Saccharomyces cerevisiae S288C: one gene and its partners. Changing the gene in region 4 together with the main gene of any one other region gives a genetic interaction. Each region holds a gene or a part of one and is shown on either strand. Other genes may lie near its edges.

Region 1 (3,393 bases), on a different chromosome or scaffold from region 4:
AATACTTTGCCGAGGACGAGAGTCGTGGAAGATGGCACGGGTGAACAGCCGACACTGATCCCAATTGCCGAACCTGACCTTTCGAATGGGAACGGTACTGGGAGCGGTATTGGCAACGGCAACAAATTAAAGAAACCGGTTCTTCCCGAATTATCACCTTGTTGTTCAAAAGATAGTTTAGTCACAGCGATGCAAAATTTAGGTTTCAATGATCTTCCCAGCACTGCTCAACATTTGGTTCTGAATGATGTGATGACACAAATGTCAAAGAGTTCGGATTTAATTTTTTCAACCTTGCCAGTTCCAGCTCTTGGAACACATGAAGATCACGATGCAAGTTTACAATATGTCGAGGACTTGGATATTTGGTTGGAGGGCTTACCTCCATGCATGTTAATCAATTCGCAAACCATGACAGTAACTACTGCATTATAGAATAACACATATATCGTTATGCATTTCCCCAGAACTTATTTACTACATATAGAAGTCTTGTAATACGGCCGAAATACAGATGCTTTATAGTAGGGTTATTGTTTCTATTCATTTTTATTTCAGTTGGGCTTTACGCTTTCCGGTTCGATATACTGTTTTACCTTACGGAATGCAAACATGGTATAGAAATATGATGCCGCTTCCTTTTCATCCCCTTCAACACCATATCTACCATCAGATCTTTGTAAACCTTCCCTCATTTTAGGCGAAAACCTCTCAATCCATTTGGGAATTTCTTGGACAAAAAATTTATTAAAAGGCATTTGCGATACTAGTTCCAAACCGTATTCATCAGCCAAACTTCTTAAGGTTTCGAATGGCACAACATATTCAGGAACATTATCTATAGCATCTTCTAGCCAATAAGTATACATTTGACCATAAGGCGATGTGAACTCATAATCATTCTTTTGGTATGAATTATTCTCAAATGTCACTTTATAAATGGAGTTTCCCCAAGATGGCTTTTCCACTTCTTTGGGAAATTTATTCAGTTTATAACGAATGAATTCTGAATCTGGTATCGTGCCAAAAAAGTGACCACCAATTTTGAGTGATTTGGCGACATTCAGTAAAGCTCTCCTTGCTTTTTCTTCGGTCTCAAAAGCATAATGCAAGCAAAATTGCGTCGAAACGATATCACACGGAAATCTACAGTCTGGGAAGGGCTCTACTGCAACACCTAATGATTCGCCAAAGCAATCCCCAGTAATTAGCACAACTTGGTAGTCCAAATTTCTCATGGACCGGTATCTCTTATGAGCTTCTTGGATAGAGGCATTGGAAATGTCAATACCAATAAACTGTGAAATACCTGCAGCACCATATTTTCTTAAATCACCACCTTTGCCACATCCGAGTTCTAAAACGACATCTCCAGGTTTTGTATATTTGTCAATTAACATATACTTAATCGCATTGTTAAAATTACGAAGCTTAATAATAGGCGATAGATTCCTCTTAGCGCGATTGGCGATTATTGTACGTTCATTATAGTGCTCTCGGACAATCTGGTCAACATTTATGGATCTATTTGCAGTCATCTCTATTTCATGTCTCTTTAGTTGCTCTTCTCTCAATTTTTGAGCACGCTGTTTGCGTAATCTTTCCTCTTGATCATACCTTTCATGTCTTCTCTTTTGGATTTTAAACCCGGATTCTGCCTCAATGGGTAGATCAGACACCTTAGAAGTAAGGATAGAGCTGCTTTGCAAAACTGGTAATGATCCATTACCATCACCAGGCGCATTGGCAGTAACTTTGGAGTCTTTTTTTGAGACTGTGGACGATTCATCACCAGTAATTGAGCCGTACTGACGGTCATAGTCTTCTTGTGACATCCATATTGGCTTCTCTGGTTTGGTTGACATTCTACTTTTCTAAGACGGATAATGGACGACTCCACGTTGTAGTAGTTGTCACATTAATCGGAAAAGTGTCTCACATGTAAAGGATTAAAATAAGAAATCTTCTAATTTATGTTGAAATATCTTGATTTACCATTACCCGGATTAGATGAAACTAATTAAAGTCATTTAGAGCAATGGACCAAACTAAAGGTATTAGAGTTCTTTCTAATATAATACAGCGCCAAATAATTCGAGAAGGGAAATCATAACGCTGTTGCCTTGGGTTTATTTGAGGTATGGAAACTATTGATTCGAAGCAAAATATTAATAGGGAGTCTTTATTGGAGGAAAGGAGGAAAAAACTAGCAAAATGGAAACAAAAAAAAGCACAATTTGATGCTCAGAAAGAGCATCAAACTTCACGCAATGACATTGTTACTAACAGTTTAGAAGGTAAGCAGACTACTGAAAAGTTTACGGAAAGACAGGAACGTGTAAAAGAAGAGCTTCGGAAGAGAAAAAATGAATTTAGGAAATCTGACGAACCTGTATCGGTTAAGCCTTCGAAGAAAAAGTCGAAGAGAAGTAAGGTAAAGAAGAAAATATCCTTCGACTTCAGTGATGACGATGATTCTGAAATAGGAGTTTCTTTTAGATCGAAGGAGCACATTCAAAAAGCTCCAGAGCATGATAATGAAAAAGATCCACTGGATGAGTTTATGACGTCATTGAAGGAGGAGAAAATGAGTAATAGTAAAGGCATGTACGACAGAGGCGACATTCTTGATGTAGAGGATCAATTGTTTGAACTTGGAGGAACCGACGATGAGGATGTTGAAGATAATACGGATAATTCTAATATAGCGAAAATTGCTAAACTCAAAGCAAAAAAACGTGTAAAGCAAATTTATTACTCTCCAGAAGAGCTTGAGCCGTTCCAAAAAAATTTTTATATAGAATCTGAAACAGTTTCCTCGATGTCAGAGATGGAAGTTGAGGAGCTTAGACTTAGTCTGGATAATATCAAAATAAAGGGAACAGGTTGCCCCAAACCAGTCACAAAGTGGTCTCAACTGGGACTATCAACGGACACCATGGTTTTAATTACAGAAAAGTTGCACTTTGGCTCCTTAACGCCTATTCAATCCCAGGCTCTTCCCGCTATTATGTCAGGTCGTGATGTTATAGGAATATCAAAAACTGGCTCCGGCAAGACCATCTCCTATCTTTTACCATTGCTAAGACAAGTAAAAGCTCAACGGCCATTATCAAAACATGAAACAGGGCCCATGGGTTTAATTCTGGCTCCAACTAGAGAGCTAGCTTTACAAATACATGAAGAAGTTACTAAATTCACAGAAGCAGATACATCCATTAGATCAGTATGCTGTACAGGAGGTTCTGAAATGAAAAAGCAGATTACTGATCTTAAAAGAGGCACTGAGATTGTTGTTGCCACACCGGGACGATTTATTGATATATTAACACTAAATGATGGGAAATTACTTAGTACTAAAAGAATAACGTTCGTAGTAATGGATGAGGCAGA
Region 2 (4,741 bases), on a different chromosome or scaffold from region 4:
CTCTTTCCACGGAAAATCCTGCTCCTGCTCCATGGAACCAAAGCAACGGGGTCTGGCGGAACCTATAATCCGTTGTGACCGGGCCCGCATAAGGAATTCTCGGCTCTTAAAATAATCTATCCTGCGCAGAAAATACTGGCTGGCAAAAAAGAAATACTAAATCAGACTCCTTGTCTTTACGTTGGCTATGTAGTCCAAGCTTGGCAGTACTACTGGTGCCTGGTTATAAGATTGATTTTTGTGACTCTTGCGGAAAGGTTCGCCGAGCAGGGACCCTGGATGAAAAAATTTCTTGATGAGGCATCAGTATAAATCACTAGGGGGCTGTACATGCATGGTCGTTTAAAATCCGACTACGCACATTAACTCTTTTTGGCACTAAAAGCGCTCGGGGTTAAGTGTACCTACCCCTCTCCGGCCGTAAAAAAATGAAGGTAATGTTTTCAATTTTCACCTTTTAGTCATTATTGTTGTTATTGTTATCACTCAAATTAAATAAAAAGAAAGAAACTACTTAGAATAAATACTAACATTAATTGTATTGCGCCCCGCTCGCCTCGAAGTCATAGTGGGCTTGTTTCTCTTTTCAGCCACTTGTATGAAATACTCTGAGGCTGCAGAAAATGCACTATTGTCCTCCATACCCTTGCGTGGTACTCGTTAATCTGTGTTTTTTCTTCTTCGTTTAGTAACTTAGTATTGATCAACTTCCTGCAATAGGGAACCACAGTCATGTTTTCGAATTTCAAGAAGTTACCCTTCTCAGTGGCCTTCTTGATTAACATGTCGCTTTCAATCCTGATACCATACTCACCATCCTTATAATAACCTGGTTCGTTACTTATTATGTTACCCGCTCTTAAGGGGAAATTCATCAGATGTGGCCTAAAGCCGACACCCATGGGTCCTTCGTGAACGTTTAAAAATGATCCGATACCATGGCCTGTGCCATGTTTGTAATCTAACCCGCGGGACCATAAAAACTGCCTAGCGATGGCGTCGATATTAAACCCGGGAGTGTTTTCGGGAAAAATCAACCTCTCTAGGGCTAAGCCACCTTTAAGTACCAGTGTGTAATTATCCATTTCTTCTTTGGTTGGCTTTGTTAAGTGAATTGTTCTTGTTATATCAGTTGTACCCTCCAAGAATTGCGAACCGGAGTCGCAAAGATATATCTTGGTAGGATCAATCATCGAAGAGTTCTCTACGGGCGGCGAATAATGTATGATGGCGGCGTTACTACCTGTGGAGGATATTGTTTCGAAGGAATTGCCCATGAAGTTCCTTTGGGTTTTCCTAATCTCGGTCAATTTTTCTGCGGCACGATATTCATCTATCAGTGCCTCGCGCCCCACTAATTGCTGCTCCAGCCATGCAAAATACTGCACTAAACATACTGCGTCTTTGACCTGCGCCTTGTGTGCGTTTTTTATTTCGATGTCATTCTTGATAGATTTCAAAACATCGATGGGTGAGTGAATTATCGCAAAGTTTTGTGCAGTCATTTTTTTAGCTATTGCACCGTTAGCGTTGGTTGAGGTGTTCAAACAACGAACCATCTGCCACGATGCACTATCAGGAATCAAAAATTCATGCTCCGCAGAAGAAGCCTGCGAAGTTATCTTTGTTAAATGTTCCCATATCTGTTCGTAAGGTCTGACTTCAATACCGTTTATCTTAAAATATTCCGATATGTCATCATTGAAGGGGTTATTGGTGAAAAGAATGGTTTCGTCTTCGTTAATAGCCACGTAGGAGAAAAAAACTGGATTATAGTCAATGTCGGATCCACGCAAGTTCAACAACCAACAAATTTCATCCAACGCAACTACTATGAAAGTATTCCTACCGGTCGTCGCAGAGGAAGCCTTATCATTCAGCTTTTTCAGTAACTTTTCCTTCTTGTCTTTGAATTCTTCACCATGAAACTCGTATTTTAACAGTAGTAAATCGTTACAAGGCCTTTCAGGTAGAGTTTCAAAATCAGGCCAAATACTGTCAACTAAGTTTTCCTCCACGGGAACCAGCTCCACTTTACCCTTTGCGTCATATTTAGTGTCAATCATTTTTCTAAAAGAAACATAGTCGTTGAAAGTGATAAGTTTTGGGTCAATACCTATCTTCAACACCATTCCCTCTTTATTGCCAAGTCCCTTGGCCATTTCCAAAGCTTCTCTGACACACCATTCTTGCCAAGTGATTGGGTCTTCGTTTTGCCTCAAAAGTGTCCAATTATAATCTAGTTCTTGTCTAGCTTGATTGAAATATCTTCCATCAGTACTCAAAATGGATTTCCCATCCGGATGGTCATCGTTGAAATTTAACAAGTCTCTGGTGATACAGGCTACACCGGCCGATCCGGAAAACCCTGAAATGAAGGCGCGCCTTTGATCTCGCAATGATACATATTCGGACTGATGTTCGTCACAACTGGGCACAATATAACAACACAAATCGTGTTTCTTCATCTCCTGACGCAACTTCAACAATCTATCAGTAGTGTTAACTTCCCTGTTAACAGCGCATAGAGAGTCACATGAGTAAACAGACCCATTTCCAGCACTGCTACCTCCGCCAGCGCCCTTCAACTCGTTGAGAAGCATGCTGGAGGACCTCCTTGAATTTTCTAACTGTCTTAAAAATAGAGAGGCTCTACGACCTTGCCTAGACAGTAAGCCTGGAGAACACGTACAATCCGCACATGGCCTAAACGGTCTGGGGCTGTGTGATGCCGATGTTCCTCTCATGTGCGTGCCAGGTACATGGGAAATCGAGTGAGCCCTGCCGTCACTGGTGGATGGTTTCGAAGTCATATGAAGATTTTGTTTGTAATTATTGGTTTCGCTCTGTTGAGGTCTCCGTTTTTTTTTTATTCTTTTTTTTTTTAGCTATGCAGTCTTTTTGCCAGTGCTTCCTGCCTTTCCTGTATTTGTAAATATTGCACCTATTAAGACTAAACTGACTCAGTTTTTGTATGTCGCTTCCTTCTTGTTCCATCCCTCATTCGAAGTATTTCTGAAAAAAGAAAACGTAGAAGAAAATTCGGGAAAATGGGGTGCGATTTTTAGGGGTCACCCGGGGATATACCTTCGGGTAACACCAGAAGTCGTCAAAAACAAAACAAAATTAAACTAAACTCTGGCGGCTAAAAGATAATCATAATGCACATAGGGAAAGCTTTCTACCATATTTGAACACTTTAACGGTTAGTTGAAATAATAAGAAATAATTATATGTTTATTTTTACGTGGGTTATAAAGACGGGTAAATTATCTTCGTTATTACTCATGAAAACCTACAAGTAAGCGGCTCAATGGCATTTCGTGGCAGATAATCTTCAGCTATCATTATTATTTTTGAGAGGATGGTTTTTAGGAGCAGTTTGAGGAATAAACAAGAGCTTAATGTACCGTTATACATTTTTAAAAAGCTGTCTTTTTTATTGGGTTCACAGCTCTCATTTTTTTCCATGCAAAATCATTTTTTTAGCCGCCGATGCTTCAAAATGGGTTTAAGATATTTATTGTTTAAATGTTTCTGCATCTGGATTCACTGAAAAAAATTTAGACGCCTAACATGTATTTTGCATTTAAAGGATTATGCGGGAGAAGATTTCTGCCCATTGCCTCTTTTCTTACTATATTGAATAGAATATTATTCCAATACTGGCTTTTTTACAATTCATTAAAAGAGGAAAAGACATTTCAGAAAATTTTCTTCTCTATGAACCTTAAATGTAGGAAAAAAAAGGAACCAAACCACATCATTTACTCTCAACCGCCTTTCTTGTTGGGGTTCATGGTACAATTGCAAAGTTGTGTCAAGTTGTTGCCACTCTATCTTTTGTTTTTGTTACAGGGTAATGGCGCACATTATGCAAGCGCGATGACGAGCAAGGTACTTTCTTTTTTCCTTTAACATTTTGTTGTCCACCGGAAAATAAAAAAAAACAAATAAATGGGTAAGATCAAAAAAGGAATAGAAGCATATGTTTTAAGGGCAACGCCGAATCGTCAAAGAACGGGAGGAAGATCAATACATTAAGTGGAAAAAAAAAGCTCCCGTAATATGGATGAAAAGACAATTAAAAAGTCGATTCTTTCATCTTCCAATGATGAAAAAATAATATACAAATCGCGAATAAAGAAATTTCAAAAGAATCATAAATTTTATATTATTCTATTGGTTTTCATCGCCATTTTACAATTCATATCAATAGCTTTTTTCACTCGGGGATTCTTACTGTCAAGACACGTTCTTGATAATATTTCCTCACAAAACGAAACGAGTAAGTTACCTCCTAGGTTCAACAAGGCGGTGATTTTGGTTATTGACGCTTTGAGATTTGATTTCGCTATTCCTGTAAACGAATCCCACTCTAATTACAACTTGAACTATCATAATAATATATTATCATTGTATGATTCTTTTGCAAGCGATAAGGATGCATCTTCCCTATTGTTGAAGTTCATTGCCGACCCACCAACCACTACTTTACAAAGACTCAAGGGTCTCACAACAGGGTCCTTACCGACTTTCATTGATGCCGGGTCTAACTTCGATGGAACAGTAATCGAAGAGGATAACTTTCTTAAACAGCTCCATTTGGCAAATAAGACTGTCAAATTTGCCGGAGATGATACATGGATGGCTCTGTTCCATCCGTTCCTTTCCAACGATAGTTTCCCACTAGAATCACTCAATGTGTGGGACTTAGATACTGTCGATAACGGTGTTATGG
Region 3 (3,788 bases), on a different chromosome or scaffold from region 4:
TTACCAAATCGGTGAGATACTGTCCCTCCCATGCGTTTTAAAGGCCAGCCACGTATCCAGAAAACGCAGCACCTGCATTTTTTGGTGGCGGAGGCTATGCTGGAAAAGGTAGTTCTTCCACTGCAGTAACTTCTGCCACAGTAAATTGGCGTGGATAGGCCCTGCAACATATTGCAGGTTTAAACGGAAAGTGTCCCCGCTTGTAATGGAAGAAAACGGTAAATTTTAATGAAGTGTACAGGCATAAAAGACAGGCGGTTAGTTGTTCTGTGTTGCCTGTCACAGAGGAACAGCGCGATAGCTTGCAGCCACAAAATTATAAGGTTTCTCTGGCCAGCTATTAAAGTATGAAAAAATTCGGACAATATACATATCTCGGACGTTTTCGGAGCAGTGCAGTCACTGGTATTGTACAGCGTTTATCGTTTCTCTTTTTTTTTTTTTTTCTCACTAAAGAAAATTTTTGACCATACTTACAGTAGACTAAATTACGTATACTATTAATCCTTTTTAGTTATCTCTTCGCTTTTTTCCTTTTCCCTTTCTGCACTAATGATTACCATTATTGAATAGTTTTTCCTTTTCCAGCTTCTGCTGTTTCTTTTGCAGTTGCCTTGATCTTTCGAAGTATAGGTTAGGATGCGCGATATGCGTTTGCTCGCCAATTTCCAAATCCGCTGATGCAGAGTTGTGTGTCATTTCAAACACTTTAGTGCAAGCAATTGTGTATTCACCTTTCTGGCAGGAATCCAGAACACTGATGATCTGCGCTTGGGTCAACTTCATAGAGCGCAATTCTGCAGATAGTCTCTCGTGACTCCAATCACGGAAAGGGCATCCATGATAATCTCCGCGCCCAGGTCTGGGCTTGGAAAGGATAGTGTGACAGTCCCATGGTTTGTAGTTGATTCTGTTACCTTCAAGACCGTAATTATGCCTGAAGCTGTAACGGTATTCTTTATTGAACTTCTCCATTGTCATGTTCCCATTTCTTGTAAATGCCTCAGACCAAAATTTTAACGCTTCATCAGCGCTCAGGCCGATACCTTTCAAAAACAGACTCAGTTGTTGTCTCCCATAATACCTCAAATGATGGTTCTTTTTAAGACCCTCCATCAGGTTTTTGATACATAGCGGATAGTTTGAGCTAATCTCTTCAGACCAGACACTTTGCGCATTAATCTCATCATCTACGTTCTCACTGAATTGGTTTGCCTTTTGCTGGTTGAAATCCGCGATAGTGTACCCCGACGAAAGATGATTTAGAATTGGTAACAACCGGTCATCCTCATTCAGTCTTGGTAAGTACTGGTACGTTTTTATTAACTCCTGGTTCAATTTGCTAGCAAACTCATTAGAAAGTAAATTCAATTGCTGGAATTGTGGTAAATATGCGTACCCGTCCTTCAAAAACACTAAACGGTTTCCTACCAGTTCTATCACATTTTCGAAAGGTAATTTTATGAATTTTTCCTGTTGGAAATACTGTTTTCTTTGATGTTCCTCGTTTAAATTCAATTGGAACTGTAGAGACGCAGAAACTGTTTGATACAACTGATGAGATAATTCGGCCTTTTCTTCATTTGAGATAAACTGTAGTAAGGGTAAGTCCAATGATTGAACAAATTTTGTTTGATCGGTGGAGGTTAGCATGTTAAATCTAATTTTGAACAAAAACGTTTCAGCCCTGACGAATTTTTCCCGCAGTTCTTTTGAACGACAAAAGCACAATCTTAAAATGAAATGAGAGTAGTAATCCTTTTTTCTGTCTTCTAAACTCTCTGTGTTGAAAGGCAGTAGTTTTTGGAACTGCGGCTTGATAATGGTTTCAATTTCTTTGATCGATTTGTTTCTTGAAAGGCAAGATTCGATCTCTAACAGAATTTTGAGACGATCGATTGCCCAGATCTCAAATTGTTCCAACGTTATTTCTCCCTGTGGTGGTAAATCGTAAAATGATAATTTAGACTCATACAGCCTAGCGTAAAGTTTTTTCTCTTCTTCAGATGAACTTGAACTTAAGATGATCTGGTTAGCTGCATTTGTGTTGCCTACGTCCAATTCGCTTTTGACAATATCATCGTATGAACTAAAATTCTTCCTTGAGGCAATTCTTCTTTTTGACTGCCTGAACATTTCTTCTCCTTATTGTGCTTTACCTGCTGTCACTGGTTGCTCCACCTGGGTAGTTATCAGTCCTGTCAAAGTTGTGCAAATTGGAGAGATGTAGATAGTAAAAAATTTACTTTTGCAAAATCACAGGATTTAATATCGAGTTTTACGCGATTCCCCGCGACGCGTAATTTCAAATCAAGTTAACTATAAATGAGCAGGAAAAAGCAAATAGAGTGAGCAGCAGATATGTAAGGCAATATTGAAACAAGAAGAGACCTGTCGTATCACCTTTGGCCTGATAAAAACAGTGTTTCCATGTCTGTCTGTAGCAGCGGAAACAATCCTACGCCGTGCTTCTGGGCTCTTGATGATGTAAGATGTTCCGTTTCATGAACGCACTGGATCTCAGCTTATAACTGTTGGTTCAGAAAAATTCAATCATTTATTTAAAGAATGTACCGTACGATGAATATACGCTATAAATGCTTCCATATATGTATAAGTGTATCGTACTATATTCGTAGCGGTGTCCCGTCACCCGGTTTTGCACCCGTTCGAGGCGCGATTTAATTTCGTACATCCAGAAAGAAAACTGGCAGATGGAAATAAAGCTCGGATTTCATGATGATCATAGGTACTCTTTGTATAATGGGCTCATCTATTATATATTCACTGTTACTGTGTTGATACTCATATTTTATAAGCAGCTTAATAGGTGTGCGAACGGGAGGATTTTTGGTAAAAAGAGGCTTAAATTACAAGATACGAAAGGGTCAAAACGCTAGGGAAACCTTTCCAGGACATATAATAGTGGATACAACAAAATACACACCACTTTTTTTCTGAGCTTTCTTTCTTTTCAGTCTGTTTTAAAAACGAACACATAAAAATGCTAGTAAATAAAGTGATAGGGTTACTGGGTGTACTCTTCGCAACAAGATTTACAAATGCCGTCGAATTGGATCTAGACAACTACGAATCTTTGCAAAATGCTACTTCACTAATTGCCTACGGTTTAATGGATTATTACACTGGTAATCAGTATGGTAAGACGGTCGGTATGTTTTCAGATCCGTACTATTGGTGGGAAGCCGGTGGTGCCTGGGGCTGTATGCTAGATTACTGGTTTTTCATGGATAACGACACCTATAATGATGAAATTATAGCAGCAATGATACATCAAGCTGGTGATGATAATGACTATATTCCGCTAAATCAATCTACCACTGAAGGTAATGATGACCAAGCCTTTTGGGGTATTGCTGCTATGACTGCCGCGGAGAGAAACTTTACTAATCCTCCCGAGAATGAGCCTCAATGGCTATATTTAGCACAGGCTGTTTTCAATACCATGGCTTTGCGTTGGGATGCCGATTCCTGTGGTGGTGGTTTGAGGTGGCAAATTTTCGTTTGGAACTCTGGTTACGATTACAAGAACACCGTTTCTAACGGTGCCTTGTTTCACATAGCTGCAAGATTAGCAAGATATACAGGTAATCAAACATATGTTGACTGGGCCGAAAAAGTTTACGAGTGGATGGTCGGTGTGAACTTAATTTCTAATGGTACCTATAAGTATGTTTACGATGGTGTCAGCATTGATGATAATTGCACCAAAGTGACCTCATATCAATGGACATATAATCAAGGTTTGCTGTTGGCTGGCTCTGCCT
Region 4 (3,383 bases):
CCCGCCACCGATGATCAACACGTCGAATTGATGCGTCTTGGCCAGACGGTCCAGCAGGTCTCGTCTAGAGACCTGCGGTGGAGCGGCGGTGGGGAATTGCACCATGTAGCTCGGGTCATTGTGCACTAACGGCCTATCACCTTGGCTAGTCATCCAGTACAGCGTCCCCGTGGCTGTGGCCATGGCAGCAGCTGCACCGGCAGCTCTTCTTCTCGTTACCGAAAACATATATTAGTACGTATTTAGTCTTGTAGCAGTGATGGCAATAGCACGGTCAAGATAAGGGAGGGAGAGTCCTTGCTTTAGACCAAAGTTCCCTATTTGTGGCTGTTCTCTTTTAAGTTTAAATACGATTTTTAGCGTGCGGGGTTGTGAAATTTCCCCTGCCAAAACTGAAATAAAGTTGGGTGGATAACGTATCGGAGCAGAGAAAAGACATAAGGTCTGTTGCTGTATATAAGTATGTGTTGCTAAAAAGGAATTAGTGCAGTGATTATTGGTCACTCGCTGATGCCCTTGCGCTTGGCACGTTTCAGCTTCTTTCTAACCGCGAGGATGGGCACAGAGCAGACGAAGTTCTGCAGAGTGGACAGGATGACCGAGAGGGAGCAGCACAGGGCGACTGGCTTGAGGCCGTGGATCATCTCGTTGAGGAGGTGTTTTGGGTACGGATGGGTCAAGGAGAGGACGACGACGTCGAGGTCGTCGAGCACGCCCGCGACGCAGTCAAACAGGTGCATGACGTGCTTTCTGATTCTGGCAACGTTGGCGAACATCTGGGAGTCGTCCGTGGGCTTCGAGGGCTCCCAGTGGACAATGTAGACGGTGTCTCCCTGGTTGACAGCTGCGCCCATGAGATAGGTCAGGGCGTAGGTGGACTCGCTGCTCAGGTCCGTGTAGAGGATGAAGGACCTTTGGTTCCCGGCCTCTGCGCCGGCACCCTTGGTGAGTAGTTGCATGGCTCTGACGTAGCCTCCGTCGAGTTGCTCCAGAGACACGTCTTCGTTTTCGTGGCCACGGATGCTGATCTCGTACTTGGCTATCCAGGGCTTGCTGGAGTCTAGCACTTCGTTTATGCTGGTACAAAAGTTGGGTAACACTTTCATGCCCAGATCGTAGTGGAACTCCTCGTCAATCTCTAAATCGTTCTCTATATCGCTCACTTGCTCTTCATCGGACTCTTCCTCGTCCATATCGTCGCCGTCGCCGTCGTCGTCATCTTCGTCGTTGCCCTCACCTTCCTCTTCAGAATCCACATCCACGACCCTCAACCGCATCGAGGGGTCCTGCCTCAACACGGTCCACTTGAGGAACTCTTCCTCCCTTACTCTGCTGCGGCTACTGGCCCTGCTTCTCGACCGCGACAGACTGCTCACGTTTGAGTCTCGTTCGCCTCTTTTCTTCTTGCTACGACCTCTTTCCCTGTGGCCCCTTTCCATCTGCTCCGAGTCGAACTCCACCGTGGTGGGCGTTTCCGTTTTGATGCTGTGTAGATTCGATTGTGTTCCGTCAGGTTTAGTCAGCAATATGCTCTTCTGCATTGCGTACTTGGTTGTTTCTCTTGTTGGTTCTTTTGGTACTCACCCTTTCCATAGTCTCTTGTGTTTGATCAAGCCTTTTTTCCGGACCTTTAAAGCTTTCTTAAAAAGATAAAATAGGAAGAAAGTGCAAAGTGCAAAAGAACGCACATATGAACAAGCATTAAACGAGCAAAGAAATGTCTCTGGATCGTGTAGATTGGCCGCACGCCACCTTCTCTACGCCGGTGAAGCGTATCTTCGATACGCAGACAACGCTGGACTTCCAATCGTCACTAGCCATTCACAGAATCAAGTATCATCTTCACAAGTACACTACGTTGATATCGCACTGTTCTGACCCCGACCCGCACGCTACTGCGTCGTCGATCGCCATGGTTAACGGGCTGATGGGAGTGTTGGACAAGCTGGCACACCTGATCGACGAGACACCGCCTCTTCCAGGTCCTAGAAGGTATGGTAACCTAGCATGCCGCGAGTGGCATCACAAGCTGGATGAACGTTTGCCTCAGTGGCTGCAGGAAATGCTTCCCTCGGAATACCATGAGGTGGTGCCTGAATTGCAGTATTACCTGGGCAACAGCTTTGGTTCGTCGACAAGATTGGACTACGGCACGGGCCACGAACTTTCGTTCATGGCCACGGTCGCAGCACTGGACATGCTGGGGATGTTTCCGCACATGAGGGGGGCAGACGTTTTTCTGCTGTTCAACAAGTACTACACGATCATGAGGAGGCTGATCCTGACGTATACGCTGGAGCCCGCTGGGTCACATGGCGTGTGGGGGCTTGATGACCATTTCCACTTGGTGTACATCTTGGGCTCGTCTCAATGGCAGCTGCTTGATGCGCAAGCACCCTTGCAACCAAGAGAAATACTGGATAAGTCTCTGGTGCGCGAGTATAAGGACACCAACTTCTACTGCCAAGGCATAAACTTTATTAATGAGGTGAAAATGGGGCCCTTTGAAGAGCATTCCCCCATCCTATACGATATTGCCGTCACCGTTCCACGCTGGTCCAAAGTGTGTAAGGGGCTTCTAAAAATGTATTCTGTAGAGGTTCTGAAGAAGTTCCCCGTGGTGCAACATTTCTGGTTCGGCACAGGCTTCTTTCCCTGGGTCAACATTCAAAACGGCACTGATCTTCCAGTCTTTGAAGAAAAGGAGGAAGAGAGTATAGAACAGGCTAACGCAGGATCGCCCGGTCGAGAACAGACTTCAACACGATTCCCAACGTCCACGTCAATGCCTCCCCCAGGCGTTCCGCCGTCAGGTAACAATATCAACTATTTACTAAGCCATCAAAACCAGTCGCACCGGAACCAGACTTCTTTTTCAAGAGATAGACTACGTAGATAATATTAATTAAACATATAAATGTGTATGACAAGCATTATGACTTCTATTTTCGTTCTTTTTTACTTGCGTCTACAATATATAAGCATATAATCAGATGAAAAAAGGAAAAGGAAGCGGTAATACAAATAAACAAAGAAGTGGAAAAAGTCGCCACAGTGTAAGCAAATGAGTCACAAGAGAAGGGGCCTGGTAATATATCAGGATCAGAAGCAGCAACAACAACACCCCCCGGGGCAGTCCCTAAGCTCTATATCCTGGTCTCCAACCAGGCGACCTCATCACCCTTTAAAACAACAAAGCACCAACAGTTTCTCAGAAATACTATCGAAATCAAGTGTGCAACCGAACGTGCAACATGACGGTAATCATATGCCCATTTCATTGCTAGTTCTGAAACAAGAACATCATAAGCAGCAGCAGCAGCAGCAGCAGCGCCAGAATATCCGATCACAAAACTCTACGCCTCCCCTGCGACAGTTGGTTC

What was found.
Region 1: mutations in IMP21 (region 4) and ABD1 together harm fitness more than expected from each alone (negative genetic interaction), as found in Saccharomyces cerevisiae (2 studies listed by BioGRID).
Region 2: mutations in IMP21 (region 4) and FRA1 together harm fitness more than expected from each alone (negative genetic interaction), as found in Saccharomyces cerevisiae (2 studies listed by BioGRID).
Region 3: mutations in IMP21 (region 4) and PRI2 together harm fitness more than expected from each alone (negative genetic interaction), as found in Saccharomyces cerevisiae (2 studies listed by BioGRID).

The regions. Positions count from the first base shown.
Region 1 is NC_001134.8:689,829-693,221, forward strand, and holds ABD1 (mRNA (guanine-N7)-methyltransferase), read right to left. Parts: upstream 1,866-3,393; coding exon 555-1,865; downstream 1-554. Other genes in the region: VHC1 (Vhc1p), read left to right, coding at 1-435; DEAD-box RNA helicase PRP5, read left to right, coding at 2,141-3,393. UniProt on the Saccharomyces cerevisiae protein: Responsible for methylating the 5'-cap structure of mRNAs.
Region 2 is NC_001144.5:79,533-84,273, reverse strand, and holds FRA1 (aminopeptidase P), read right to left. Parts: upstream 2,814-4,741; coding exon 564-2,813; downstream 1-563. Other genes in the region: RRT7 (Rrt7p), read left to right, coding at 3,577-3,918; mannose-ethanolamine phosphotransferase GPI13, read left to right, coding at 4,069-4,741. UniProt on the Saccharomyces cerevisiae protein: Involved in the regulation of the iron regulon in responss to decreased mitochondrial iron-sulfur cluster synthesis.
Region 3 is NC_001143.9:351,841-355,628, reverse strand, and holds PRI2 (DNA primase subunit PRI2), read right to left. Parts: upstream 2,137-3,788; coding exon 550-2,136; downstream 1-549. Other genes in the region: DCW1 (putative mannan endo-1,6-alpha-mannosidase), read left to right, coding at 3,005-3,788. UniProt on the Saccharomyces cerevisiae protein: DNA primase is the polymerase that synthesizes small RNA primers for the Okazaki fragments made during discontinuous DNA replication. In a complex with DNA polymerase alpha (DNA polymerase alpha:primase) constitutes a replicative polymerase.
Region 4 is NC_001141.2:53,481-56,863, forward strand, and holds IMP21 (Imp21p), read right to left. Parts: upstream 1,542-3,383; coding exon 501-1,541; downstream 1-500. Other genes in the region: GUT2 (glycerol-3-phosphate dehydrogenase), read right to left, coding at 1-228; peptidylprolyl isomerase RRD1, read left to right, coding at 1,718-2,899; VPR1 (Vpr1p), read left to right, coding at 3,065-3,383. UniProt on the Saccharomyces cerevisiae protein: Controls the nucleo-mitochondrial dependence of galactose, maltose and raffinose utilization. Becomes essential in the absence of functioning mitochondria.